7 linked regions of the Rattus norvegicus genome follow. The protein of the gene in region 7 interacts with the protein of the main gene of each other region in a biochemical or structural test. Links are inferred from orthologs where the notes say so. Each region holds a gene or a part of one and is shown on either strand. Other genes may lie near its edges.

The links.
Region 1: the proteins of Vcp (region 7) and Htt form a complex in vitro, tested with the Homo sapiens proteins (3 studies listed by BioGRID). The link is inferred for Rattus norvegicus from reciprocal best matches to the Homo sapiens genes VCP and HTT.
Region 2: the proteins of Vcp (region 7) and Nub1 form a complex in vitro, tested with the Homo sapiens proteins (2 studies listed by BioGRID). The link is inferred for Rattus norvegicus from reciprocal best matches to the Homo sapiens genes VCP and NUB1.
Region 3: the proteins of Vcp (region 7) and Ngly1 form a complex in vitro, tested with the Homo sapiens proteins (2 studies listed by BioGRID). The link is inferred for Rattus norvegicus from reciprocal best matches to the Homo sapiens genes VCP and NGLY1.
Region 4: the proteins of Vcp (region 7) and Ube4b form a complex in vitro, tested with the Homo sapiens proteins (2 studies listed by BioGRID and IntAct). The link is inferred for Rattus norvegicus from reciprocal best matches to the Homo sapiens genes VCP and UBE4B.
Region 5: the proteins of Vcp (region 7) and Atxn3 form a complex in vitro, tested with the Homo sapiens proteins (5 studies listed by BioGRID and IntAct, with this or other methods). The link is inferred for Rattus norvegicus from reciprocal best matches to the Homo sapiens genes VCP and ATXN3.
Region 6: the proteins of Vcp (region 7) and Sprtn form a complex in vitro, tested with the Homo sapiens proteins (2 studies listed by BioGRID). The link is inferred for Rattus norvegicus from reciprocal best matches to the Homo sapiens genes VCP and SPRTN.

What each region holds. Positions count from the first base shown.
Region 1 is NC_086032.1:80,101,169-80,104,668, forward strand, and holds part of Htt (huntingtin), read right to left. Parts: intron 2,510-3,500; coding exon 2,330-2,509; intron 2,226-2,329; coding exon 2,049-2,225; intron 1,836-2,048; coding exon 1,759-1,835; intron 386-1,758; coding exon 247-385; intron 1-246.
Region 2 is NC_086022.1:11,356,147-11,359,646, forward strand, and holds part of Nub1 (NEDD8 ultimate buster 1), read right to left. Parts: intron 290-3,500; coding exon 122-289; intron 1-121. UniProt on the Homo sapiens protein: Specific down-regulator of the NEDD8 conjugation system. Recruits NEDD8, UBD, and their conjugates to the proteasome for degradation. Isoform 1 promotes the degradation of NEDD8 more efficiently than isoform 2.
Region 3 is NC_086033.1:11,604,329-11,607,828, forward strand, and holds part of Ngly1 (peptide-N(4)-(N-acetyl-beta-glucosaminyl)asparagine amidase), read right to left. Parts: intron 3,301-3,500; coding exon 3,078-3,300; intron 751-3,077; coding exon 629-750; intron 1-628. UniProt on the Homo sapiens protein: Specifically deglycosylates the denatured form of N-linked glycoproteins in the cytoplasm and assists their proteasome-mediated degradation. Cleaves the beta-aspartyl-glucosamine (GlcNAc) of the glycan and the amide side chain of Asn, converting Asn to Asp.
Region 4 is NC_086023.1:165,049,397-165,052,572, forward strand, and holds the end of Ube4b (ubiquitin conjugation factor E4 B), read right to left. Parts: intron 2,447-3,176; coding exon 2,300-2,446; intron 1,829-2,299; coding exon 1,767-1,828; 3' UTR 501-1,766; downstream 1-500. UniProt on the Homo sapiens protein: Ubiquitin-protein ligase that probably functions as an E3 ligase in conjunction with specific E1 and E2 ligases. May also function as an E4 ligase mediating the assembly of polyubiquitin chains on substrates ubiquitinated by another E3 ubiquitin ligase.
Region 5 is NC_086024.1:126,869,982-126,874,230, reverse strand, and holds the start of Atxn3 (ataxin-3), read left to right. Parts: upstream 1-1,449; 5' UTR 1,450-1,554; coding exon 1,555-1,578; exon of another isoform or gene 1,579-1,694; intron 1,695-1,728; exon of another isoform or gene 1,729-2,200; intron 2,201-2,227; exon of another isoform or gene 2,228-3,031; intron 3,032-4,249. UniProt on the Homo sapiens protein: Deubiquitinating enzyme involved in protein homeostasis maintenance, transcription, cytoskeleton regulation, myogenesis and degradation of misfolded chaperone substrates.
Region 6 is NC_086037.1:69,753,559-69,757,788, reverse strand, and holds the start of Sprtn (DNA-dependent metalloprotease SPRTN), read right to left. Parts: upstream 2,801-4,230; 5' UTR 2,537-2,800; coding exon 2,316-2,536; intron 2,306-2,315; exon of another isoform or gene 2,035-2,305; intron 1,716-2,034; coding exon 1,616-1,715; intron 897-1,615; coding exon 768-896; intron 1-767. Other genes in the region: Exoc8 (exocyst complex component 8), read left to right, coding at 3,067-4,230. UniProt on the Homo sapiens protein: DNA-dependent metalloendopeptidase that mediates the proteolytic cleavage of covalent DNA-protein cross-links (DPCs) during DNA synthesis, thereby playing a key role in maintaining genomic integrity.
Region 7 is NC_086023.1:62,008,388-62,011,887, forward strand, and holds part of Vcp (transitional endoplasmic reticulum ATPase), read right to left. Parts: coding exon 3,427-3,500; intron 3,347-3,426; coding exon 3,211-3,346; intron 2,466-3,210; coding exon 2,353-2,465; intron 1,873-2,352; coding exon 1,708-1,872; intron 1,606-1,707; coding exon 1,483-1,605; intron 899-1,482; coding exon 686-898; intron 491-685; coding exon 182-490; intron 21-181; coding exon 1-20. UniProt on the Homo sapiens protein: Necessary for the fragmentation of Golgi stacks during mitosis and for their reassembly after mitosis. Involved in the formation of the transitional endoplasmic reticulum (tER).

The sequences.
Region 1 (3,500 bases), on a different chromosome or scaffold from region 7:
CTAGGCGCCTGACTCGACCCCATACACCTCCACAGAAGTCCACATTAGCACTCCTTTTCTCAGTAGGCCCTCATGGCCTCCATACTGCACTCTAATCCCAAGCAGGGCAGTTGATGACCTGAGTGAGCTGCATGTCAGGGGCCCATGTGTGCTGACAGTCACCATTATCATCCTGACTAGAGACAGAGGTTGCCATTGTCTGCACATGGTCTCTGGCCATCATACTTAGATATACTGGACACTTACTTTGTCCGGATTCACTGTTTCCAGGGATGTGTGCCCATCCCCATCCAGAGGGTGGGAAGTGACTGGGGGCAAGGGGCTAAGTGAGTCCTGCACAGTAGAGAGTCGGAATCTGTCCAGCAGTGAATAGAGCCTTTGGTGTCTGAAATACAAACAAAACCAGAGTAAAATAAACCAGAGTTTATTCTTTAGTCTGAAACTCAATTTGTACACAGGTGAGTTCTAGAAACATGTAATACCAACAAGCAGAAGCAGCTTCTTAACAAGGTGCACATGCTTGACCTTTCCCTTCAACATCCTAAAGTCACGACACACACTTAGACCCTACTTACTTTTAATTACCACAATTTATACCTCACTGATATTTTGCAGAAGTTTCATTTATGCCCAACATTCCATGAGGCAATACAATATATAACAGCTAATAAAGCTATTCTATTCTACTCTTTGTTTTCTTGGCAGTATTAGAGATGGAACCCAGGGACTTGTGCATGCTAGACAAGTGCTCTATCACTGAATTACACATTCCTAGCCATCATATTTGTAATATATACAAAACAGATAGATTCTTCTACGATCCAAGCGCACAAACTCCATTTAATGCTCCATAATGACACAATTCATTTCATTAGGAAGGGTCACTTCACAGAAAAATCATTTCATCTGGCCCAAAGATATTTATGATAATCATAATCATGATTATATCATTATATAATGATTAATAATTATATCAATATAATTTATGATGTCATAACCTTCCTCATCTAGGCCTCTGATTACATCTATTATCAAACATAATGACAATTTATTCTCTTACTATCCAAAACCAATGTGATACTATGTATGTCAAATGACAACATTGTGTGGCTTTGCAGACTGAAAAAAATTATCTAGACTATGCCCTGTCCCATTATGAAACACCCTCATAAAAACTCTAAGATTAAAGTTATGAGAGAACCACCCTCTTTTATGCACATATGCTCCCTATCCTATTAACAATGGCGGAAAAGAGGTAAAAGTTTTTCTTAGTTTATCTTGACTAAGGAACTACACTTATACTTCAGATTGAAATGTTTCTAATAAAGGTTTCTAAAAGACTTTCAAACAAATAGGCAAAAGAATTGCTATGAAGAGAGGTCACTTAACAATACACAAATACCATGTGTACATGCCAAGAGCCAAGTAGAGCTCTCATATTTATTCCTTCTAACCTAGCAATTAGGTTCTATGTTTATTCCCATTCCTAAAGGGTCCAGGAGCAGAGGCAACAAACACATTTCTTATCCCTTCAACAGTCAGAAAGTTCAGGAGCACCTCGTGTGTGCAACAGGTGTTTGATTGCTACTTCTTCATGTCTACTACAGTGAGACTTTCATGTGACAGTTAGACAGCCAGCTCTACTGTGGCACTGCTGCAGTAAACTCACTCTACACTAACTCCTTTGCCTGCCTCTTTGTTCCTGTACATATCTATGTGTTAATACCCAAATGCCTGTACCCCATGCTACAGTCTTACCTTTGTGCAAGCCCAGTGTTCTGGAGGTGTTCCTGGATTCTGTTCAGTTCCTCCTCTGGCAACTGGGCCATGCTGCTCTACACAGACAAGAATACATCAGGGCTTTTGTGATATGCACTTAAATAGGATAAAGTGCTACGCACAGTGTCCTAGTAAGAGACATTGGTCAGACACACAAATAACAAACATTGCACACATGCTCTTGTCAGTGGCTAATCAAGACCAGGTCAGCAGACCAAATGTTTTGACTGACTTTCTAAGTTTTGATATAAATCACCATTTCTCAGTACCTGTAAATTTGCAGCCAAAAGCATTTCTACTCGGCGACAGGCCAGGGTGTCGACCATGCGAGCCAGCGCACGGAAAGGGGTGCCCAGTAGCCTGTCCACATACAGTGTGAGCACAGCACCAGACTGGCTGAGATGGATGCCTTCCAAGCACTGAAGTGTTTTCTTCAGAGTGGTTGGCTAATGTTGAGAAGGAACAAAATTTATTATTCCTCAGACTTGTAACTGGTACTGACAAAATCCCAGTAAGTTGGACAAAGCAAACTGGCAGGCTAAAGACTTACAGTTGAAAGATTTTCACAGCGAGACTGAATTGCCTGGATAAAAAGACCACTAGCTGCAGAATTACGATGAATGGCACTAATAAAGTCTTGAACTGGAGGCTCGTGGGACAAGCTGATCAGATCTTGAATGTGATTCACAATGAGCCATGTTAAGTGTTCTGAGTCATGGAGATTCTGACACTAGAAAAGATATAATAAAAGATACATTTCAAGTAGACAAGAAGGCTCCAAAGAAAAACACACTCCAAATACAAATTTTGCCTTGGTGAAGACAAGTGTCTGAGTACAAGTAAATGAGAGAAAGGAAGGAAACTTATAGAGCCTCACACCTCGATCACATGTGGTAGAGGCCACAGGAAGCCAAGAACTGAGGGCAATGTCAGCTCCCAGAGACACTAGCAAATGCCTCAATATCAGAGAATTGGCTCCTTGGACACGCCAAGAGGTAGCTGCCCACAGGAGCAAGGTGAGCAGTCTGGTGTAGCCCTCCCTAGTGACTGGCCTGGAGTTTGCATGCATGGAAACAAAGGAAGCCCCATGTTGGAATAGAACTTGCCACCAGATTGCAGGCCAGCCTAGCATGGGCTGCTTTACTTACTCTGTCTGTAATGCTCAGTGGCTAAAACAGACAATAAATGCCACAGATTTGATAGAGTTCCTGAATCAAAAAACACAGCTGCCCAATACATGGGAAAATGTCACTTAAGGTTTTTTTGTTTGTTAATAAGAAAAATAAATAACAACCATAGTTAAAAATACAGGTAACCTGCTGGGAGGTGGTGATGCACATCTTAGTCCCAGCCCCTGGGAGGCAGAGGCAGGCAGACCTCTACAAGTTTCAGGGTATGAGGTTAGCCTGGTCTACAGAGTGAATTCCAAGACAGCCAAGGCTATAAAGAGAAACGCTATCTTGAAAAAAATAAAAATTGACCAAACAAACAAACAAAATATGCAACCTTTCCATTTGTAGGATTAGTTCATAATCCTAGACAGAAGCCAAAGCCTGATCGAATCTTTGACATCTGGTTAATGCTAATATTTTTCACTTGCAACTATTTGGATAGTATTAAATTATAAAATTATTCTTTCTTTGTAAAAAACACCACTATACCACATTTCTCAAAAATGGAACAAAATATAAAAATGACTTCAATATTGGGAGTGTCAAGTA
Region 2 (3,500 bases), on a different chromosome or scaffold from region 7:
GAATTCCAGGACAGACAGAACCACACACAAAAAGATCCTGACTCAAAAAGCCAAACCAAGCAAACCAACCACACAACTGCTCCTCAGATGAGCACAGCATGGCGGTCTTAAAGCTACTCACTTTCCGGAGCCTCGGAGGCAGGAACACCTCAATCGTAGCAATCCCAGTTGTGCGGTAGTGCTCATTCCCAGTGCCGCGCTCAATCGCTTTGCATCGGATTTCCTCTATTATGTTTTCCACTTCATTTTCACAGCACTCTAGCCGCTCGGAGTACCTCTTAGCAAGGTCCTATGAGCAGAAACCAGAAACGGAGCTCAGTGGAGGGCCAGTGCAAAAAAACCAAAAAACAAAATATATATGTGTGTGTGTATGTGTGTGTATAATAAACACTATATATATTTATTATATATAGATAGTATATATGTATATTTCCCAAAGCAACATAATTCTTACCAGCAGATACCCCCACTGTACTGAAACTCAATCTGGGCTCTCAAGGATATTCAGGGAGAAATGAAAACACTTATAAATAGTAAAAATAGCTTGCTGGTCAGAGTGAGAGTAACTGGGACTATTCCAGAGAGATGGAGGGAGGCTGAGACTCCTGTGACCTTCATAGACTAAGAAATTAGTTTAGGAAGCAGTCAACTAGGGCTGTGAAGACGATGACTAATGGCCAACCAAGGCTGATGCCTTGAGGTCAATCTCTGGGCCCTACAAGGTGGCAGGAGAGAACCAAGTCCTATAATTGAATTCTAACCTCCATAAGTGTCTCATACTCGCATGCACACACACGGCTACTTTTTTTTCAAAGTTGTAGAGGCTGGAGAGATGGCTCAGTGGCTGAGAGGATCTTTCATTCTTAGAGGACCTGGGTTTGGTTCCCAGCACCCACATGGTAGTTTACCACCACCCACAACTCTCATTCTGGGGGTTCAAATGTTCTTCCTCTGACTTCCAAGGGCACCAATCATGCTTATGTTGCATATACACAGGCACATAAACACATGCACTCATACATAAATAACTGTAAAAAAAAACTTCTTAAAATAGTGAACTGTTCATCATCATTGGATGGGAAGTTTTTTGGGGGGGGGGGTTGTTTTGGTTTTTTTTGAGATACAGTCTCACTACATAGCTCTGGCTGTCCTAGAATTCACTCAGTAGACCAGGCTGGCCTTGAACTCAAGAGATCTACCTGCCTCTGCCTTCCAAGTACTAGGATTAAAGGTATGAGCCATCACTACCTGGCTGTTGTTTGTTTTTAATTTTTTTTAGGATTATTTTATTATTTTGTGTATGAGTGTTTTGTTTTTTTGGTTTTTTGGTTTTTTTTGCACGCACGTCTGTGCACACGTGTGCCCAATGCCCAAGGAGGTGGTGTGGGTACTGAGAATTGAACCTGGGTCCTTGTAAGAACAAGTGCTCTTAACTATTGGGTCAACTCTCCAGCTTCTTTGTTTTTTCTTTCAGTGATGGCATCCTCATCATAATACATTTTAAATAGGCATCAGGAGAAGGCTGGAAGAATACCATATCACTGATGTTTACTATGTTTTTAAAAATATACTCTCTGAGATAGAGATAGAATCTCATCTAGGCTGGTCTTAAATTCGCCATATAGCCAATGATGACCCTGAATTTCTGATCCTCCTGCATTAACTTCCTGGGTACTACAATTCCAGGCATGCCCACCATGGTTTATAAAATTGTCTTCTTTATGCTGTGACCAATGACAGACCAAACATAAGCTCAAGTGCCACTTTAAAAAGGGCTTATTTTCAATTTATTTGTATCAGTAGAAGTGCATGTGTACATGTGTGTGCAGGTTCCTATGGAAACCTTCTAGAAGGCAACAGATCCCCTGGACCTGGAGTTACAAGCAGTTGTGAGCCACCAATATGGGTACTGGGAGCTGAACTGTGGTCCTCAGCAAGCTTTTAACTGCTGAGTCATCTCTTTCAGAGCAGAAGAGGCCATTTTAATGTCCATGTTGCATGTGTGGGAGATGCTGGTGTGAATAAGTCTACTGTGATGCCAGTCCTGTAAGCACAGGACACGGCATCAGCACAGCACATAAATACTGTTTCATGAGAGTGAATGGCTGCAAAGCCATCTTGGTTTCATTAGCTGTGCTCCTCTGACTTTTCTGTAATAGTTTACTATGAAGTATAGCATGTAATTATTAAAAAAAAATGTATGCTATTGACGGCTACTCTCCCTCCAGCTGTGGAGGTCTCCCTGCCCCCACAGCTATCCCCAAGCGGTGGTCTACCCAGTTCCCTAGCCAAACCACTGAAGTGTTCAGATTCCCAAGCATCTGTCCCCTATGGCTAGTCTGTCAAGACTTTCTGGAAACCCTGAATCCCGTATAAAGAAACCTCCAGAGGCTTGTAATTTGTTAATTCTCAACTCACAAACACCCACACAAAAAAATTCAAAACTCAATCGATATTGATAAAAGCTGCACACCTAGACTGGACAAATTGCCCTACATTATTCTATTGTTCTTCTATGATATCCATAGCCACCTATGGCTATTTCAAGCCCTGTGGATCCAGTACGTCTTCCTTTTCTAGTATAGGTCTTGTCTCCTCTCTCTGTCTCTCTGTACTGTCTCTAAAACTCTCAGTCCACTTCTTTTCCCACTACCCAATCACAGGCTCTAGTCTTATCTTTCACCGGCCCTCACCTGCTTACAGACAACAACTTACACTGAAGTAGTGTGGAGGCAGCAGCAACCTCAGCCTAACAGGTGTGAACCAAACTCTTGCCTCAGGCGCATCACCCCAACTCTTGGACGGCCCCAGTGGTGAAGGAGACTAAGTATACAATTGACTGTCCTTGAACTGGTGACCCTCTTGCCTCAGCCTCCAGAGTGTTAGAATTTCTGGTGCGTATGACTAGGCTCGGTTCTATTTTTAATCCAGGAAGACATATTATTTTTATCACTATAAAACATGAAATTTTTGAAAATAAAACACCTTAACAATCAATTTCAGGGCCAGTAGGATGGCTCAACAGATAAGGTCCCTGTCAAAACATGGCTGACAACTTTTCTATTTCCAGAGCCCACATAGAAGGAGAGAACCAACTCCTGCAAGTTGCCCTGATTCCCCATGTGCACCCCATCCCCCACCCACCCCAAGTAAATAAATGTACAAAAACATTACTTTCTAAAACTTCTAATGTCTCTAGAGCATGGTGGAGCACACCTGCGATCTAAGCACTGAGGAGGCAGAGAAGGAAGATCCTATGGATCCCATGGATCAAGGTCCTATGGAGTTTGAGGCCAATCCAGGCCTCATGAGACCTGTTTCAAAAAGCTAAAACAGAACACACACCAAACCAACCTAATAACCAACTAAACTCTAGTTACCTAGAGAAGGTTATTTTTTTCTCCTGATAGCAAGTAATTCTAACATTAACTTGGGACAGTTCACTGGTGTCTTGGGGCAGTCCTACAGAACACCCCATGTTGGTATTCTAAGCTCACCCC
Region 3 (3,500 bases), on a different chromosome or scaffold from region 7:
CCTTGGTCCTGCCAAGGTTGGACCCCGAGTGCAGGGGAATGTTGGGGGGTGGCAGTAAGGAGGATGGATAGGGGGAATACCCATACGGGGGAGGGGAGGGGATGGGGTGGTTTATGGACAGGAAACCGGGAAAGGGAATAACATTTGAAATGTAAGTAAAGAAATAGATCGAATAAAAAAAATAAAAAAAATAAAAATAAAGACAACAGTAAAAACAAAGAAAACCCTGGAACAGGGAAAGTGACCTTCAACACGGACCTGACATAAGTTGTTTCTAAATGAAGACCAAGTCCAACACCAAGGTTATCCTCCATGCCTGTAGAATGTAGTATAGGCTTACTACGTCACCTACAGCAATCCTTTAAACATGACAGGACAGCATGTTACTACACACATTTCCATACACACAGAACAGGGCCACTGCTAATGTCACCAATAGGATAGAATCCAGGTACTGGGAATGGGGCAGCTGTGTTATAAGTGTTACAGAGTCTCGAAAATGCCTGTTGAGGCTGGTACTGCTGTTACCTTACAGAAGGCTAACAGAAAACTCAGGGGATGTGAGAAAAAGAAGTTTACAAAGCCCACTTCTTCTCTAGTCTCTTTCTCTCTCCTACCCAGGCTGTACCTGTGTAATCCCACACATATCGAGCTTCAAACCCTAATGCACGGCAGCATAGCGTAAAACAATTGGCCCATTCACCACAGCGTCCACATCTTGTTTCCAAAAGTTTCTCTGGGTTGTTATATCTGGTTTAAAAAAAAACAACAAAGACAACAGATGTGATTCATGATTAAAATCCAATTTTTAAGGAATTTACATCACTTGTACTCTAAAACACCAACCATGATTTTCATAATTTTTAGTTTCCTATTTTAAAATATTGATAAAAGTACATGGTCTATACAAGGCACTGTGCTAGTCTTTGTGAATCATGCTTAAAAGGTGGAACTGTCTTCAGTGAGTGTAGTTCAGTATATGCAGTCAGTTTTGTCTTAATTAAAAATGGATGCTACCACTTCAAAGAGCTAAGTGCACTGATTAGCCTATCCATACCAACACAAGCAGAATCAGTAAAACAGCCATGTAACAGCTAAGACATAGGAGAATGGCTGGAGGGAATAATTTTCATCTTGACTGGTTTCTAAAAATATTTAGATGGGCAGGTTTTCTAAAAACTGTGATTAAGATCTTCAATGGTTCTCTTGCAAGTAAATACGCTTACTGTGTAATTATCTTTAGAAATTTCTCAATGGATTTTTAGCTTGGGGCAGGGGTAGGGGCAGGGGCAGGGGCAGGGGGCAGGGGCAGGGGGCAGGGGGCTGGGGGCAGGGGCAGGGGCAGGAGCAGGGATTCAGCTCAGTTTTAGGGTACTTGCCTATCATACGTGAACTCTTAGTTCCTATCACCAGAAAAGATGTCATGGTATTGTGCAAGTATAATCCAGGGCTTTGGAGGGAGGAGACTGGGAATTCAGTCATTCAAGGCCAGCCTGTGCTACATGAGACACTGCCTCCAAACATGAAAACCAAAAGTAGGGCTGGGGGGAGTAGGGCTGGAGAGACGGCTCGCTCAGTGCTTAGGAACACTTTCTGTTGAAAAATAAGGACCCGACTTTGGACCCAGTACTCATGTAAAAAGCTGGGTGTGACCATGCATACTTGTAATCCCAAAGCTGTGGGTGAGGGAGACAGGATTTCTGGGGCTCGCTAGACACCTGTCTTCAGGGCCTAAGGTAGAAGTGGTTGAACAAGACTTCATTCTTCCTGGCTGTAAACATAGCTGGACTTCTCACTCTGCTTATGATATTGTAACTTAGTATAAATTCCAGTTTTCTTCTTAATAATGATTTTGATTAATTTTCTGGACACACTTAAAAATGCTTGCTAAAGTTTACGAGCAAGACATCTGAAGTATTCTCTCAAAAGTCATTTCAGTTACTAATGTACCATAAGAATAGAGAGCACTGAGATTTTCACTCTGCACTGAGAAGGGCTGGTGAGTGTTTTGTGCTTATACAAGCATCAGGTATTATAATGTTCTTTCATGTATAATGTAGGGCTGGTTCCACATTAGGACAAGCTGAGTGCTAAACTCCAATAGAACAGGCTTTTCAAACGCGTGCCATCTTTTCTGTTGTGTAATAAAACTAAACTTCCTAACTATGCTTATAAACTAAAGGTTGAAAACAGTAAACTGAAAATTTTTAATTTCCCAAGTTTAAAATATTCAGGTTTAGTGGTACACATGTGTAATCTTGGTATGTAGGAGGATAACTGAGCTACACAGCAGGACTCAGTCTCAAAAAACAAAACCAATCAACAAAACAAGAAAAATGCAGAGACTGAGATGGATATGAGAGGCTGGGACAGAGGCAGTCCTGGTTAAAACAACTTCTGCCCTTATAGTTACTTTTACCCCTGAATCTTACGATTAAAGATAGCACTATTTTACTTTTATAATGGTGTCACTATCACTAATACTGTCACTGTAGACCACAGCACTTTCATACTTTAAAATGCTATGAATATATGTAGAAATGTATGCCTTAGAATAGGAGTCAACAAACTGCATAAAAGGAGGCAGTAAGGACTGGAGATCAGCTCAGTTGGTCAAGTGCCTGCTTAACATGCACAAAGCTAGAAGTTCAGTCCCCAGCACTGGATACACTGTGATACACGCATACAATCTTAGCACTCAACAAGTGGAGGCAGAAAAATCAGAAGTTCCAGGACAGCCTGGCTACACAAGACATAGATACATACACATGAGAGAGAGACAGAAAAGACAGAGAAAACCAGGCAGTAAATATTTTGATCTTTAGTCTTACAGTCATCAGTATTCAGCAACTCTTGCAGTCAGAAAACTGTCACAGGACTAGTAAGTCAGTGGGTTGTGTCCTAAGAAAACCAGAGAATGTGGATGTGGCTGCTCTAGACTGCCACTCTCGTCTGTAGACCTCTGTCCTAAAGAAATATCAAGTCCAGTTAAAATGGAGAGTAAAAGTCTAATTTGATAATAAATCCCTGTTACCTGTCCCACTGAGAGACGCCCACCTCACTTTGCAGGCACCCACCTTGGGAAGCGGTTGCTCAACTGGCAGGCATCACAGTAATGATCCTCCACATTCTTGGCGCCCCACTTCAGCTCATCATCATTGGGCGGCAAGGCCTCATCTCTAGATCTAGTCTCTCTGCCACATCTGCTGCACACAACGTTATTCACCCAGTGGAAAAACTCCTCTTTAAACCAGTGTAGGAGCTCCAGTAGAAGGAAATCCTCATCACTTACTTTAGTACCTTGGAAGTTAGAAGAGAACCAGTTAAGGTTTAAAGCCCACAAAATCCAAAACGTTCTATACTCAGATTGGGAGCAGAAACATATGAAAGCATAAGATGATAAAAGCTTTCACAAATATGCAAGGAGCGATGTCAGATGCTGTGAACGGTGCTAACACACACAGTAAGCTGTGTGAGTGCAGTTAGAGCAGAAGGAATCC
Region 4 (3,176 bases), about 100 Mb from region 7:
ATCAGTCTAAGGTCACCGGGGTTAGCAGCAAGTTATCCCGAGTCATCCCAATGGCCCACAGTGCTTAGTTTTACAGGTGAGCAGTTTGTAGTTGGCTCCAGGAAGAACATTTCTCCACACGCACTTGGCTCTTGTCTGGCCTTGTTCCTTGAATTCTATGTGTATAAATGCTTTGTGTGTGCACATCACATGTGTGATCAGTGCCTGCCCACAGGAGCCTGATTTCTAGTCCCCTGGAACTGGACTTCCAGGCAGTTGTAAGCTGTGGGTGTTGGGAACTAAATCTGATTCCCTCTCTGCTCCTGTAACTGCTGAGCAGTCTCTTTGGCCCCGTAATTTTTTTTTTTTAAAGACAGGATTTTGTTATGTGAACCTGGAACTCTGTGTAGACCAGGCGGACCTCAAACTCCTCTTTCTGGGAGTTCTGGGGTTAAGTGTGTGCGCCACCATGCCAGCCTTCCCCACCCATTTCTTTCCACAAAGAGACGAGTCACAGAAGGTTCCTTCTGAATGGGCATCACCGTTTATTGTCGTTTGTGTTGGGAACTGAACAGAGCACAGACTGTGAAGAGGAGGAGGAAGGAAAAGAGGAGAAAAAGTATGTTTCTGAAGATTTCATTTCTTTAAAACACTTTATGGTTTCAAATCCTTTTTCACCCCAAAGGAAATTTAAGAATTCAAGTATGTTGCGTAGGGAGCGGTAGTACTTCTGCTCGAGTGCGCCTACGTGGTTACGTGGTGGTGTTTGTCCGGGCATGTAAACAAGCAGACAGATTTCCACATTTCTTGCACCCTTTTTTTTTTTTTTTTTTTTTTTTTTTTTGCTTTGGTAAGGCCAAACCCCAAAAGGACACAGCATACAAAAGAACCCAGGGTTGAGGAACTTATTCATCCTCAGAGGATAACGGCTTAGGATTGGAATTGTCACATAGGATTAAAAAAAAAAAAAAAAAAAAAAAACCAACAGAAAACAAAACACAACCCTCACCTCCCCCAAACCCCACAAGTCACACGAGTCCTGATTCACTCCAGCCAGCCTGCTGTCGCACCTGCTTCTCAGGATCATAACTGAGGGGTGGTAGAAGGACCAGGCCCACAGGGTTCTCTTCATTTTGTTTATAATAAAAAAATTTAAAGGGCTATTTCAAAAGAAAAAAAAAACCTGAAATTCAAATTCTGAAAATATCTTGCCTTTTTTATTAATCATGTCATCTAACACCAATTAAAAAAACAAGTCTGTGAATATGATATAAAAATACGATCCCCAGGTTAACACTTCGTCGCAGGCACAGTTACCTCACAGAATACATGTTTGGAGGGCCGGGAAAGGAGTCTGGGTCTGTGTCTCTTTAAAAATCCCACAGCAGTGCCAGTGGGTGAGGGAGGGGAGATTCTTTAGCAGCAAAATGTCCGAGTTCTCTAGTCACATCGAAAAAAACAAAACAAAAACGTAAGCTCAGGGGAAGCTGCCCAGACCCACTCGTCACTAAACACTTCCGCTGCCGCAGCCCCAGGGGCGACAGGCGAAGGGCGCGCTTTACTACACAAGCCATGGAAAATTCGTCCCTCAAGCTTGACTGTTGTCACTTAAATATATGTACAGGAATCCTCTTCTGTCATGTCCCTCCATCTCCACTGCTTGGTCACTCGGGGTGGGTTCTCAGGATCTGCTCACATCTGGTTGGAAGCAGCTTCGAGGCGGATGCTGCTTTGGCCTGGCTGGCTGGCTGGCGGCTTCCAGCTGAGGATGCGATGGGATGGGACACTTAGTGGTCACTGCTCTGCTTCTCTCTCATCCAGGCCTGAATCTGCTCCTTTAGCTCTGGCACTGAGGGAGAGGAGACAGGGGGTTAACAGCCCAGGTGGGCAGGCCCTTCGGCTTGCAGTCCTATCTAAGTGGAAAGAAAAGGCCGCTCATTCCCCAAAGATGCTGAGGACTGTGGAAGAGACAGCCACAGACAGGAAGACATTTACAGCCAAAGTGAGCCCAGTGCTTTGTGTCTTTTCCATAAAAAGAACTTAAATTGTGTGCTTTCTATGGAAAAGTGCTGGGGACTGAACCTGGGGATGTACGCATCTAGCCAAGGGTTCTGTGGGTGTAGGCCTAGCCATCTTTTCTTTTGTTTGAGACAGGATCACAACTAAATTGTCTGGGTTTGCCTTGAACAGGCTACCCCCTTCTGGCTCATCCACTCAATAGCTGAGGTCACAGGCCTCCGGGCACCGGGCTTGCTCTTAGTCTCCTACCCTCGCTGGCCCTGACACTGGTCGGCGCAGCAAGGCGAGCTGGGCCTCCTACCTGGCTCCAGCATGCTCTCAGTCAGCATCTGGCGGTTGAAGGGGTCGGTGGGGGAGTTGAGCAGATGCCGCAGGATGATAGAACGGTCCATGATGGTCCCAGAGGGCAGTCTCACGGGATCAGTCATCAGGGTGTCCATCAGAGGGTCTGTGGACACAGAGCAAGAGCAAGCTAACCCACTGGTGGGGGGTAACCCCGAAGAGCAAAAGCAGACGGTTTCTACCAGGGAGACATCTCAGGGAGCACTGTGGAGCCAGCAGCCCCCGAGTCCCTTCCTGTAGGGGAAAGCAGCACGATGATGGCAGATGAAGGGGCATGCCGTGCCTTGCCTTCTGTAGCTGCTGCTGGGAGAAGAGAGCAAAAGCGGACAACGAGGCGGCCCTCAGGGCAGAACCCTTTGCCTTACAATCCCCACTCCTTCCTTGTAATGACAGAGCTGTCTTTAAAGTCTTTGTGGTTATCTGAAGACACCACACTAGGGATGGACACTGCAGCTGTCTTCACACACACCAAAAGAGGGCATCAGGTCCCATTACAGATGCTTGTGAGCCACCATGTGGTTGCTGGGAATTGAACTCATGACCTCTGGAAGAGCAATCAGTGAGTGCTCTTAACCACTGAGCCATCTCTCCAGCCCTGAATGTTCAATATTTTTTTTTTTTTTTGGTTCTTTTTTTCGGAGCTGGGGACCGAACCCAGGGCCTTGCGCTTCCTAGGTAAGCGCTCTACCACTGAGCTAAATCCCCAGCCCCGAATGTTCAATATTTTAATCTATAATATTAACTACAATTTGTACACACAATTTTAGACAATACTCCAGAATCAACTACAGCGTACTGTCAAACAATCAAGAACACTGATGGCAGTCGCCCTTGTG
Region 5 (4,249 bases), on a different chromosome or scaffold from region 7:
ACCGTACCTACTAGGTATGTTGCAGAAGCATCAGATCCCCTGAATCTGGAGATACCAAATTCTGTGAGCCTCTATGTGGGTTCTGAGAATCAAACCCAGGTCCTCTACAAGAGAAGTGGCAAATGCTCTTAACCTCATAGCCAGTTACCTTCTAAATTGCAATGAATCTCACCTCACAGCTCAAAACAGCTTCTGTAAACTCCAGGCCAGACATCTATTACTCACAAAAGTACCTTATGTTGCACAGACATTTAAACTCATTATTCCCCAAATTAAACCCTTGTCTTCCCTTCCCAAGACCCTGCTCATTCTGCACAGTATTTCTGGTTGGAGTATTACTCCTTCTTTAGGTGGTACCTACAGCAGACACCCACAAATCTTTCCTAACAATAACCCCTTTCACCCCAGTTCCTCACCAAAGTCTTCTGAGTCTGCTTCCTGAAACTTCAAATTGGTCTCTCTCCATTCTCAAATCACTACTGGAGTTCTGACCACCATTGTCTCCTCATTTCTCCCAAAATGCCTTTCAAGTATTCTGTTCCCCAGTGATCTTCTAAAATTCTAATTTGACCCCATGTCTCTAGTTTTGAAAATCTGTAACCTCCTGTAGGTTTTTTGTTTGTTTTGTTTTGTTTTTGGTTGGGAGGTGGCGGGCAGGATCGTCCTAGAAACCCTGGTTACAGGCTGCCACAGTCCAACACAACATACTCCTCCTACCTTCAGGTGCAAGGATTAGGAGAATGAGTCTTTGTACCCAGTTTCTTTGCTGACTTTGAAGAACCTAAAATGGTTCCACCACACAAGATCCGCGCCCAAATAACACTTAATCTTTGTCAATCCCTCCCCCACCCCCGGCGCGAGCCACTCAACATTTTACTGGACTTTTCACTTCCCCATCGACGCTTCCTCCTTCAGATATTGTACATTTATCCTGGGACCTGATACTCATTCCGACAGGCAACTGTGTTGGACACTGTGCTATTCTAATTTCTTAGTGCCTACATTTCTTCATTTGTATAATAATATTACAACATACACACACATCAAAAATGCCGCATTAAATCGCACTTAGAAGTGGACTATTATAAGTCAGCCCTAACTAAATACTAGCTATAGTTTTCACACAAATACTAGGTATTGGGAGAATGCCTTTTTTGGAATGAGGTTTTCAGTGGGAGAGGAGGTATTACACGTAGTTGAGCAGAAAGTACCAAAAAAGGTGGAAATGGAGAAAAAAAAAAGAACCTAAAACCTGGCTGCGAGGATTCTCATCTAGAACCCTAGAATCACAACATTGTCTAGCGTAGAGAAGTTCCTCCGCACAGCAGGCGGCGCCGCAGCATCACACACGCGGCGGGAGGACCAGCGCCGCCCAGGTCACGTGTCCCGTGCTCCCCGGCTCGCGTGCCGCGTGACGTGCGCCCGCAGTAGTGATTGGGTGGCGGGAGGCACGTGGGTAGGGCGGGGCGGGCCGGGGCGGAGGGGTGGGGCCGGGGGCGGAGCTGCTGGAGGGGGCTGCTCCGCGCCGGGGCCGTTGGCTCCAGACAAATAAACATGGAGTCCATCTTCCACGAGAAAGTGAGTGTGGGCGTTCGGTGGGGAGCCGTCCGCGGCTCGGCGGCGGGCGTGGGGAGCAGCGTCGCCGCTTCAGGAACTCAGGCGGGGCCCGAGCGCCCCCATCCCGACTTGGCTGGGTGAGGGGTGCTTCCTGCCTTCCCCCCATGGCACCGTTCATGAAGCCTCCCGCATGCGTCTCCGGCACCCTCACCCTAAAAGACCGGGCGGGTAACCTGGGCATTTCGGGGGGCTTCATCCGGAGGATTAGCGCGGGCGTTTCTTGTTCACTTGCCACGCCTTTTCGGGTTTCTTCTATCTTCTCTCCTGTGGTCTAGTCTAGCGAGACGCCTTTCCACACCTGACGGACCCTTCCCAACTCCACCCACTCCCCCTGACCTATCCTCTGGCAGAACCAACTTTCTCTCTCAACTCAGTTCTATGATGGAATGTCCCATGCATTTAGATCTTGGTGATCTATCCCACGTCCTTCTGCAGTTGTGACCGTGGCTCTCCCATTGAAGGGCCTGACACTTGGGAAGTAAAGTAGGAAATCCCGGAGGGAAGTCGTCATAAGAGTTTTTATTACGGGATGTTTGGGCTGCTCTCCCATTTTTCCGGACCAGGAGGCCAGCTTTGTTTTTAGGTATTATGGATAGATTAGAATCTTTCTACTGTGTGATTTGGCTAGTCTCTTCCTCACCTTAATTCCTAAGTGACTACGCTTTACAGTATTGTGACATCTCGAGAAACTGGTCTATGCTCGCATACAATTATCAAGTCATTTGGGTGTTCCTCGGACAACTTTGGCATGATTCCGTGTTTCATAATCATTTTAGGTTTGGAGAGGGTTGCTAGTTGAGACTATTATTACAGTTGGAGCAAAGGCCTTTGTTTTTATCATTTGTAAAGGAGCATTCATTCACAACGTTTAAAGTCCATGCACGACAAAAGAAAGACAAAAATGCTGTAAATCTAAGGAAGTTGTTAAATGAAAGTGTTCTTAAGAAGACCTTTCATAGTGTTTTTGGAACTGGAACAAGTTAGTTTGTGACAAGATTTCTTGTAGCCCAAGCTGGCCCCAAACTCTCCATCCTACTGTCTCTGCCTCCTGAGTGCTGGCTGGGATTATGACCATGTGCCCTGACTCTGAGTGCGCCACCCCCTCCCCCACTCTTTTGTAATTTTCCAAAGGCTTTGGGATAAAGTCCATTTTAAACATGTTATACTCTTTGGGATAAAATCCATTTTAAACATGTTATACTTTATACACTGTTTTGTGAGACTCCTGCCATGTATTCTTAAAAGAAAAATGCATGTGCTTGTGTGGAGGTCAAGGATGACTTGATAAAGTCTGTCCTCTCTTTCCAACTTGGTGTGGATTCCAGGTGTCTGAGGCTTTGGCAGCAAGCTCCTTTACTCTCTGGGTCATCTTTAGGGTGAATGAAGGAAGAAATGGAAAGGACATGACTTCTAGGTATGGTGAAGGAGAAAGTTTATTAAAGAGATGTGGGAGAGCATAGCCTGGGGCAGACACATTTGGGAGACCCCAGAGTTGTCATGACCCTGAACCACATGGGGAGAGGGAAAGGAAATACAGCAGCCAGGAGCCAAAGGTGCAGAAGTATACCAAAGAGGTTGGGTTACCAAAATACATGAATTACATAGGCAAGGACCACTAGGGGAAGGGCAGCTAGGCCATGGTCTGGAGAGTTCAGGGTAGAGAGTAGGTATACCAGCTATACCCTGGTATAAGTAGGGACTAAGGGATGCTGGGAGAACCTGGAGTTCAGGTCCGCTTTGATATGTTAAATAGGTACCTCTGCCACCTACCATCCTGGGATTGAAGCTCAGCATAGGGCTCTTAAACAATACACTAAAAAATATGTATTTTTTTGCTGGCAGGGGTGGTAGGCCTTTAACCTCACACTTGGAAGGTAGAGGCAGGGGAATCTCTAGTGAGTTCAAGGCCAGCCTAGTCTACAGAGAGAGTTTTAGAACAGCCAGCTCTATACAGAGAAACTGTCATGGAAAACAAACAAAAAAATTGTATTGGTGTTTACTGTTGTGTATGTCTGTGCACTGTGTGTCTGTTGCCCACTAAAGCCAGAAGATTCCCTGGAACTGGAGTAACAGGCTTGTGAGTAGCTGTGTGGGTGTTAGGAGTTGAACCGAGGTCATCTGGAAAGCCAGCCTGTACTCTTAACTGCTGAGCCACCTCTCCATCTCCCTCAATACCTTCTTTTTTTTTTTTTTTCTTTTTCTTTTTCTTTTTTCTTTTTTTTTTTGGAGCTGGGGACCGAACCAGGGCCATGCACTTGCTAGGCAAGCACTCTACCACTGAGCTAAATCCCCAACCCCCCTCAATACCTTCTTGACAATATTGATTGTTCCTCATTTGAGCAGATTTCAGTGAAGGTAACTACTGAATCAGTATATCCAAAATGCTAGGCTAACAAAGACTTACTCAGGCCAAGGATATGCCTCACCTGAATAGTGCTTGCTGTGTAAGCATGAAAACCAGAGTTCAGATCCCAGTGTGTGTTTGTATCCCCAGTACTTGAGGCAGGGAACCGAGCCAGGTGGGTTTCTGGTTGCTGACCAGCCAGTCTAGCTGAAATCAGTGAGTTCTAGGCTCAGTGAAAGACTATCTCACAAAATAAGGTGGAGCGCAACTGAGGAAGGCATTTGACTT
Region 6 (4,230 bases), on a different chromosome or scaffold from region 7:
CCTTACTAAGCTACCATAGAGAGAAAGACCTGAGACCACAGGGCTGGAGAGATGGCTCAGTGGGTAAGAGGCTACTCTTACAGAGGACCCTAGGTTCAGCTGCCAAGCACCCACAATGCAGCTCACAACCATCTGTAACTCTGGTTACAGAGCCCAGGGATCTGACGCCCTCCCACAGGCACACATGCAAGCGGAGCATCAGCGCACACAGAGAATAAAACTGCACAGAAGGAAAGGTGAGGAGGCACACACTTCCTTAAGTTCCTGGAATGATAAAAACTGCAAAAGGGCCAGATCCTTCCTAAGCAATCACACAAGACCCTCATAGTTAACAACATTGTCAGTGCTCACGGTGCACCGCACATCCTTTACTGTCACGATCTCAAAAGCAGGCACTGCCGTGACGCCACTGCATAGCAGCGATGGTTCCAGAAGAGCTCAGGGAAGATGAGCTGGAGTCACTCCTGAAGGTCCCATGCCTGAAATGCTGGCCTGCAGTTGCTGAAGCCTCAACGAAGAGGCCTGCAGGCTCCTTAGCCACTCTACCCCTAGAGACTAAATGGTAGGACTCTTGTTCAAGGCTGAAAATCTCTTTCTACCTAGTTCCCCTTTGCTGAATGAATGGCTACTAGGCGTGGTGGGACATACCCACAATCCCACCACTTAGGAGGCTAAGTTAGAATTTTGAGTATGAGGCAAGACTGGTCTACACAGCCAAGACCCTGGTCCTGCCTGCTCCCCAAACCTGTGTGGCTCAGTGTACCGACCGTTATGTTGGCTCCTGTCAGCTGGTTGATTCGATGCATGTGTTTACAGAACTCTGGGCCGTGTCCTTCTCGGTCTTTGTCATTATTAGTGACAAATAAGTAAGCATGGATCATTTCGTGCAAGAGAGTCTGAAACACAAAACCAAGTATTGATTTTCTAGGGCAAGTGTGAAGCTAAAATGAATTCTTTTTTAACCTGCAGTCTTAGCCTTCTGCAGAGCCAAGTACAAACCTTTACATATATTCCAAGCTCTACAGAACCCAGTACCCCTCTTCACAGAATGAACGCTGCTTAGGAAGGCCCATTTAACTATGTACCCAAACCCAAAAGGTTGGTGAACCCAACCACACAAAAACTTTAACATCCAATAGAGTCAAAACTCTGCCATGCAGACTCCAGATGCCAACAATGGAAATGCGGACACCAAAAGAGCAAGCAGCCCAGCTCTGAACGGCCACTGGGCATGATCCTGACCCATGATCCCAGACTCAAGGTGGAAGCAGAAGGCTCAGGAGTTTGAGATCAGCTTGGCTACAGCAAGCTCTGCCTCCCTCACCATCAAACCCCCCACAACCCTGCGCCCTCTAAAAATAGCTGGGTACTTGCATGCCAGCTCACTGGAGAGGCTGAGGCAAGAGAAGCATTAAGACCAGGGCCAATCTAAGGAATAGAGACTGTCTCTTAAAATCAACAAAATACCCTGGACGGGAATGGTGATGCACTGTTGTAAGCCCTCAGGCAGAGACCAGAGGATCTTGTGGTTGAAGATAGTATGAGCTACTATCAAGAACACATCATTGAAAAATAAAAATCTAAATGTTGAGGAACCAGTTTATGCGAAGACTACCTCTACAAGGTCCTTTCTTGGTCTGAGTTTTAACAAGGGTTCACTGAGACGGATGGAGCACATGCCTCCTCTCCCTTCATAGGTGCAGATGCCAGCACACCTGGAAAACAGTCACGGACAATGGATTAGGTTCACCCAATGCACAAAGGAGACAGAACAAAAAACAAACCCTCGCCTGGCATGGTGGCGCAGGCCTTTCATCCTAGTCCGTGGGAGGCAGATGCAGGAGGATCTCCCAGTTCCGGGCCAGCCTGGTCTACAGAGTGAATTCCAGGGCAGCCACAGATACATAGTGAGACCCTGTCTCCAAAAAAAAAAAAAAAAAAAAAAGAGCCAGCAAATCCTTATCCTTGGGCAGTTCAACGAAAGTCCCTGATAGAGGGCTTTTTAATAACACTTGATCACCCTCACACCCTCACCCACTGTTATCCTCTCTGCTCCGCACCGGGACTTGTCACGGGGCCGATGTGAAGTTAGAAGTACGCTACGTCTCAGCCTGCTTCAGCTCAGGCTGCTATGTGACGGTGTATATGCAGGGCAGATTATTATCTAGAACAGGATTTCTCAAACTCAGTGGGTAGATGAGGGATCCTGCTGGTACATCTCTGAGAGCCGTTGGGCCACGAGGAGGGGACACACCAACGACAACTCAGCGCCCTTGCCCTTCCCTACGTTCCGAGCCGTTCGTGGGCGCACTCACAGTGTCATGCGCACACTCCACTTCACCTCCACGGCCTCCAGCTGACCCCAGAAGAAGCGATCGTTAAACTGCAGGAAGAGCGCCTGCAGGTCCGGGGTGGGGTCCACCAGCTCCCAGGACGCGTCCACCAACGATAGGGGCTCCCGCGCCGCCGCGCGCCGCGCCGCCTGCACGTCCCACTCCTCCTGCAGCCGCAGCGCGACCACCAGATCCTCGTCCATCCCGATACTCTCACTTCAGCCGCTCCCAAGACGCCGGTCGGGCTCGTGAGGCGTACGGATCTCGCGAGACCTCCCGGCCCCGCTGTCAGGGCGCGCGGGCTCGCCTCGAACGCCTAACCGAAGGTGGCTCGGCTCTGCCCCGCGGACACAGACTTAGGAACGCTGGGCTCGGGGTAGGGACGGCTTCAGGAAGCCAGTTGTCTCCAGACCGCCGCCGAGGTCCAGCGCCTCACGTCAAGTCTGGTCCGTGCCCGACCCTCCTCTGACTTCCGTACTGGCCCGTCCGCGCACGCGCCTTAAGACGCTGCCGTTTCCGCGCAGGCGCGTCGTCGACACTCCGCCCCGGGCGCAGGCGCAGTGTGAGAGTCTCGACTTTGGCACAGGCGCAATGCAGCGCTCGGCCCCGGCGCAGGCGTTTGGGTGTTGCTCCCGCCCCGCTTCCTCTACCGCTTCTCCACCGGGCTCGGGTGGGGCCGGGAGGCGGCGAGTGACAGCCACTGCGGGCCGCGGGAGCAGGGCGGGTGGCAGCCATGTCGGACAGCGGGGCGAGCCGCCTGCGGAGGCAGCTGGAGTCGGGGGGCTTCGAGGCGCGGCTGTACGTGAAGCAACTGTCGCAGCAGTCGGACGGCGACCGCGACCTGCAGGAGCACCGACAGCGGGTGCAGGCGCTGGCGGAGGAGACGGCGCAGAACCTGAAGCGCAACGTCTACCAGAACTACCGGCAGTTCATCGAGACGGCGCGCGAGATCTCCTACCTGGAGAGCGAGATGTACCAGCTGAGCCACCTGCTGACGGAGCAGAAGAGCAGTCTGGAGAGCATCCCGCTGGCACTGCTGCCCGCCGCTGCCGCGGGCGCATCCACGGGTGAGGACACGGCGGGCGCGGGACCGCGGGAGCGCGGGGCGGCCCAGGCGGGCTTTCTTCCGGGGCCGGCCGGAGTCCCTCGCGAGGGCCCCGGGACGGGAGAGGAGGGCAAGCAGCGAACGCTCACCACGCTGCTGGAGAAGGTGGAGGGCTGCAGGGACCTGCTGGAGACACCAGGTCAGTACCTTGTGTACAACGGGGACCTGGTGGAATACGAGGCAGACCATATGGCCCAGCTGCAGCGAGTGCATGGCTTCCTCATGAACGACTGTCTGCTGGTGGCCACTTGGCTACCACAACGGCGAGGCATGTACCGCTACAACGCACTCTACCCACTGGACCGCCTGGCTGTGGTCAACGTCAAAGACAATCCACCTATGAAAGACATGTTCAAGCTGCTCATGTTCCCTGAGAGCCGAATCTTTCAAGCGGAAAATGCCAAGATTAAACGCGAGTGGCTGGAAGTGCTGGAGGAAACCAAGAGGGCGCTCAGCGACAAGAGGAGACGGGAGCAGGAGGAGGCAGCCGCCTTGCGTGCGCCACCACCGGTCACTTCCAAGGGCAGCAACCCGTTTGAGGATGAGGCCGAGGAGGAACTGGCCACCCCGGAGGCAGAGGAGGAAAAGGTTGACCTTTCCATGGAGTGGATCCAGGAGTTGCCGGAAGACCTGGATGTTTGTATTGCGCAGAGGGACTTTGAGGGTGCCGTGGACTTGCTGGACAAATTAAATCACTATCTTGAAGATAAGCCCAGCCCACCTTCTGTGAAAGAGCTGAGGGCCAAAGTGGATGAACGAGTGCGACAGCTCACCGAGGTGCTTGTGTTTGAG
Region 7 (3,500 bases):
AAGAACTCCAAATCCACATCCTAAAGGAAGCACAAGAGTATGTTAGCTGTTAGCACTGTGCCTTCCTCCCACAGAGCACAGGGTCTCTGGACTTTCTATTTTAAACAGACTGGCTTCTGCCTCTGCCACTCCACATCTGCTTAACAGAAAAAGTCCCTATGGCTGACAACTTTGCACTTGCCTTGGCAACTGGGGATTTTCGCAGATTGGCTTTTAGGATGGCAACACGGGACTTCTCATCAGGAAGTGGGATATAAATGAGCTGATCAAGACGGCCAGGTCTTAGGATAGCAGGATCAATGATGTCAGGCCGGTTGGTAGCTCCAATGATAAACACATTCTTTTTTGTGGACATGCCATCCATTTCTGTCAGGATCTGATTGATGACTCGGTCTGCAGCTCCACCACCATCTCCAATATTACCACCACGAGCCTTGGCAATTGAATCTAACTCATCAAAGAAGAGTACACAGGGGGCAGCTTGTCGTGCCTATGAAAAAGAAAAGACCATCTCAAATACTAATATAACTAGATTTCTCATACTTCAGGAAGAAAACAGAGTAATCAGTAATGCCCCAACTGAGCTGCCAGTAATAAAATTTTTTGCGTCTGGAGAAATAACCTCTCATTCCACCTTGCCCCTTGCCATACATACATATGAACATCAGCTAGCCATCTAGCTTACCTTGTCAAATATTTCCCTGACATTGGCCTCAGATTCCCCAAACCACATGGTAAGCAGCTCAGGACCCTTGATGGAGATGAAGTTAGCCTGGCATTCATTAGCAATGGCTTTGGCCAGTAAGGTTTTCCCACAGCCAGGCGGTCCATAGAAAAGAACACCTTTGGAAGGAGTCATGCCAAATTTGAGGAATTTGTCTGGATGCTCCACAGGATACTAGAAGAAAAGCAAAGATAATTTAAGGGCAACCCCATATTTTAAATCAAATCATATCAGAAGCATAGCATCTTTATGATACAAACGTCTAACATCCAAGTTTTTTGTATATAGGCTTCCATGCTACCTAGTCTTATATCAACCTGACACCTAACTTGAGTTATCTGAAAAAAGGGAACCTTGAGAAAATTCTTACATAAAATCTGGCTATAAGGCATTTTCTTCATTAGTTTTTGATGTGGGAAGGCCCCACCCATCGTGGGTGGTCCCACCCCTGGGCTGATGGTTCTGGGTTCTATAAGACAGCTGGCTTTGGAAGCAAGGCCTTAAATAGCACCCCTCCATGGCCTCTGCATCAGCTCCTGCTCTGTTTGATGAACAGCAGTGTGGAACTCTTTCCTCCCTAACTTGCTTTTTGTCATAGTACTTCACTGTAGCAGCAGTAACTTAGGGCAGTTCATTATTATCTAAAACTCTGTAACAGAGTTATACGCTCAATTCTTAGTAAATCAGTCTGAGACCTAAAAGTTGATTATTATATACTGAGGGAATGACCCACCATACTAGAGCAAAACTTAGCCTACCTGAACCAACTCCTGAAGCTCCCGTTTGACATCCTCCAGGCCTCCAATGTCTTCCCAGGTTACTTGTGGCACTTCTACCACAGTTTCCCGAAGTGCTGATGGGTTGCTTTGACTTAAGGCCCACTAAAAAGGGAGTTTGAAAAAGTGGAGATGAGACTTGGGGGCGGGGTCCTCACAACAAAATACATAAACATATTCCTAATTTGGGTGTAATATGGTCCTTACCCGGAAGTCATCCATAGTAACTGCCAGGGAATTCATGACCTCAGCGTCAATGGTCTCATCTTCTAGGTCAATGAGGTCCATTTTTTTCCGGATGGCCTGTAGAGCAGCCTCTGAACACAGGGCTGCCAAGTCAGCACCCACATGACCATGAGTCTCATTGGCTACCTGCAAAGAGAAGATATACTGACCATCCTCAAGATCCAGCTACCTTATCAAGTCAGAAACAGAATCCTGACTCCATCCCATGTTTCATATCTCTGATTCTTCCTGTTTCCTTGAAGAGATATATTATAGCAGACCTTTTACAGGCAGAGGTGTTAAATATTCACACCGGATTGGGGAGCTGAAAATAAAACTGCTCCAACAACTCATACATACAGCAACAACTAAGAAGCACATTCCTGCTCTGAAGTTAAAAACAAAGTCCATCCAGCTTTTTTTTTAGAAAAAAAGAAAAGATACAACGACCTTGCTGTGTAGCCCTAACAAGCCTCAAACTCAGGCTCCTCCTGTCCGTCCTCCCCCCCCCCCCCCGTTCTAGATTACTGATATGAAGCCTCTTTTCTTAGTCTATGCATGTAGTCCCCTGCAACCTCCTACAACAGAGTTATCCTAAATTCTGGCCAGCCATCATCACCACTCCACCTGTTCCAAGTCCACATCATCTGCCAGTTTCATGTTCTTGGTATGGATCTGAAGAATTTCCAAACGTCCTGTAGCATCAGGGATTCCAATATCTACCTCTCTGTCAAAGCGACCTATGGGACAATAAAGGAATGTAAAATAGGAAGTTTCTGGTCCACAGAAGTCACTCCAGAACTCTCTTATTTAAAGTTAGCATTAATGCCTCACAACCTGGAAATCTTTCAGACTTAGGCAAAAAATAGATAGTTACTCTAGAGCAGTGGCTCTCAACCTGGATCTCGACCCCTCTGGGACAGAACAACCACTTAACGGGGGTGGGAGTGGGTGTCACATATCAAATACCCTCTATGACAAATATTTTACATTACAATTCATAACAGTAGCAAAATTACAGCCATGAAGTAGTAACAACTTTATGATTGAAGGTCACTACAACATGAGGAACTATATTAAAGGGTCGCAGCACTAGAAAGGTTGAGGGAGTGCCCTAGAGAGAACACAGAATGGAAAAAAAAAAAAAAAACCTTAGGTCCTGTCATGACAAAGAACTTAAATTCTGAGGATTAAGTAACTTAAAGACATAGGTGAGATAAGGAAATCAAGCCCAACAGACATACCAACAATATACCCTACAATATATCAACAAGTAAGGACAGGCTGGTTTGCACGATGGTGGTGCACAACTTTAATCCCAAGCACTCAGAAGGCAGAGGCAGGTCAATCTCTTGAGTTTGAGGTCAGCCTGGTATTCATAGTTTCAGGACAGCCAGGGCTACACAGAGAAACTCTTGTCTTATATATTAAAAAAAAAAAAAAAAAAAAAAAGGGTGGTGTAGGAAAAAAATTTAAGGTCTTTACCAAATCGCCGTAGGGCTGGGTCAATGCTGTTGGGTCTATTGGTTGCTGCCATAACTATCACATGTGCTCTCTGCTTTAGGCCATCCATAAGGGTCAACAACTGAGACACGATGCGACGCTCCACTTCCCCGTGAGTCTGTAAGACAGTAGTATGTCTGGTCAGAAGCTAGGTCAGGACCTCACAAGTCCTTACCATCCCATTGGGTAGGTTCCTACTTTCTCTCTTTTGGGTGCAATGGCATCAAGCTCGTCGATGAAGATGATGGCAGGAGCATTCTTTTCAGCTTCCT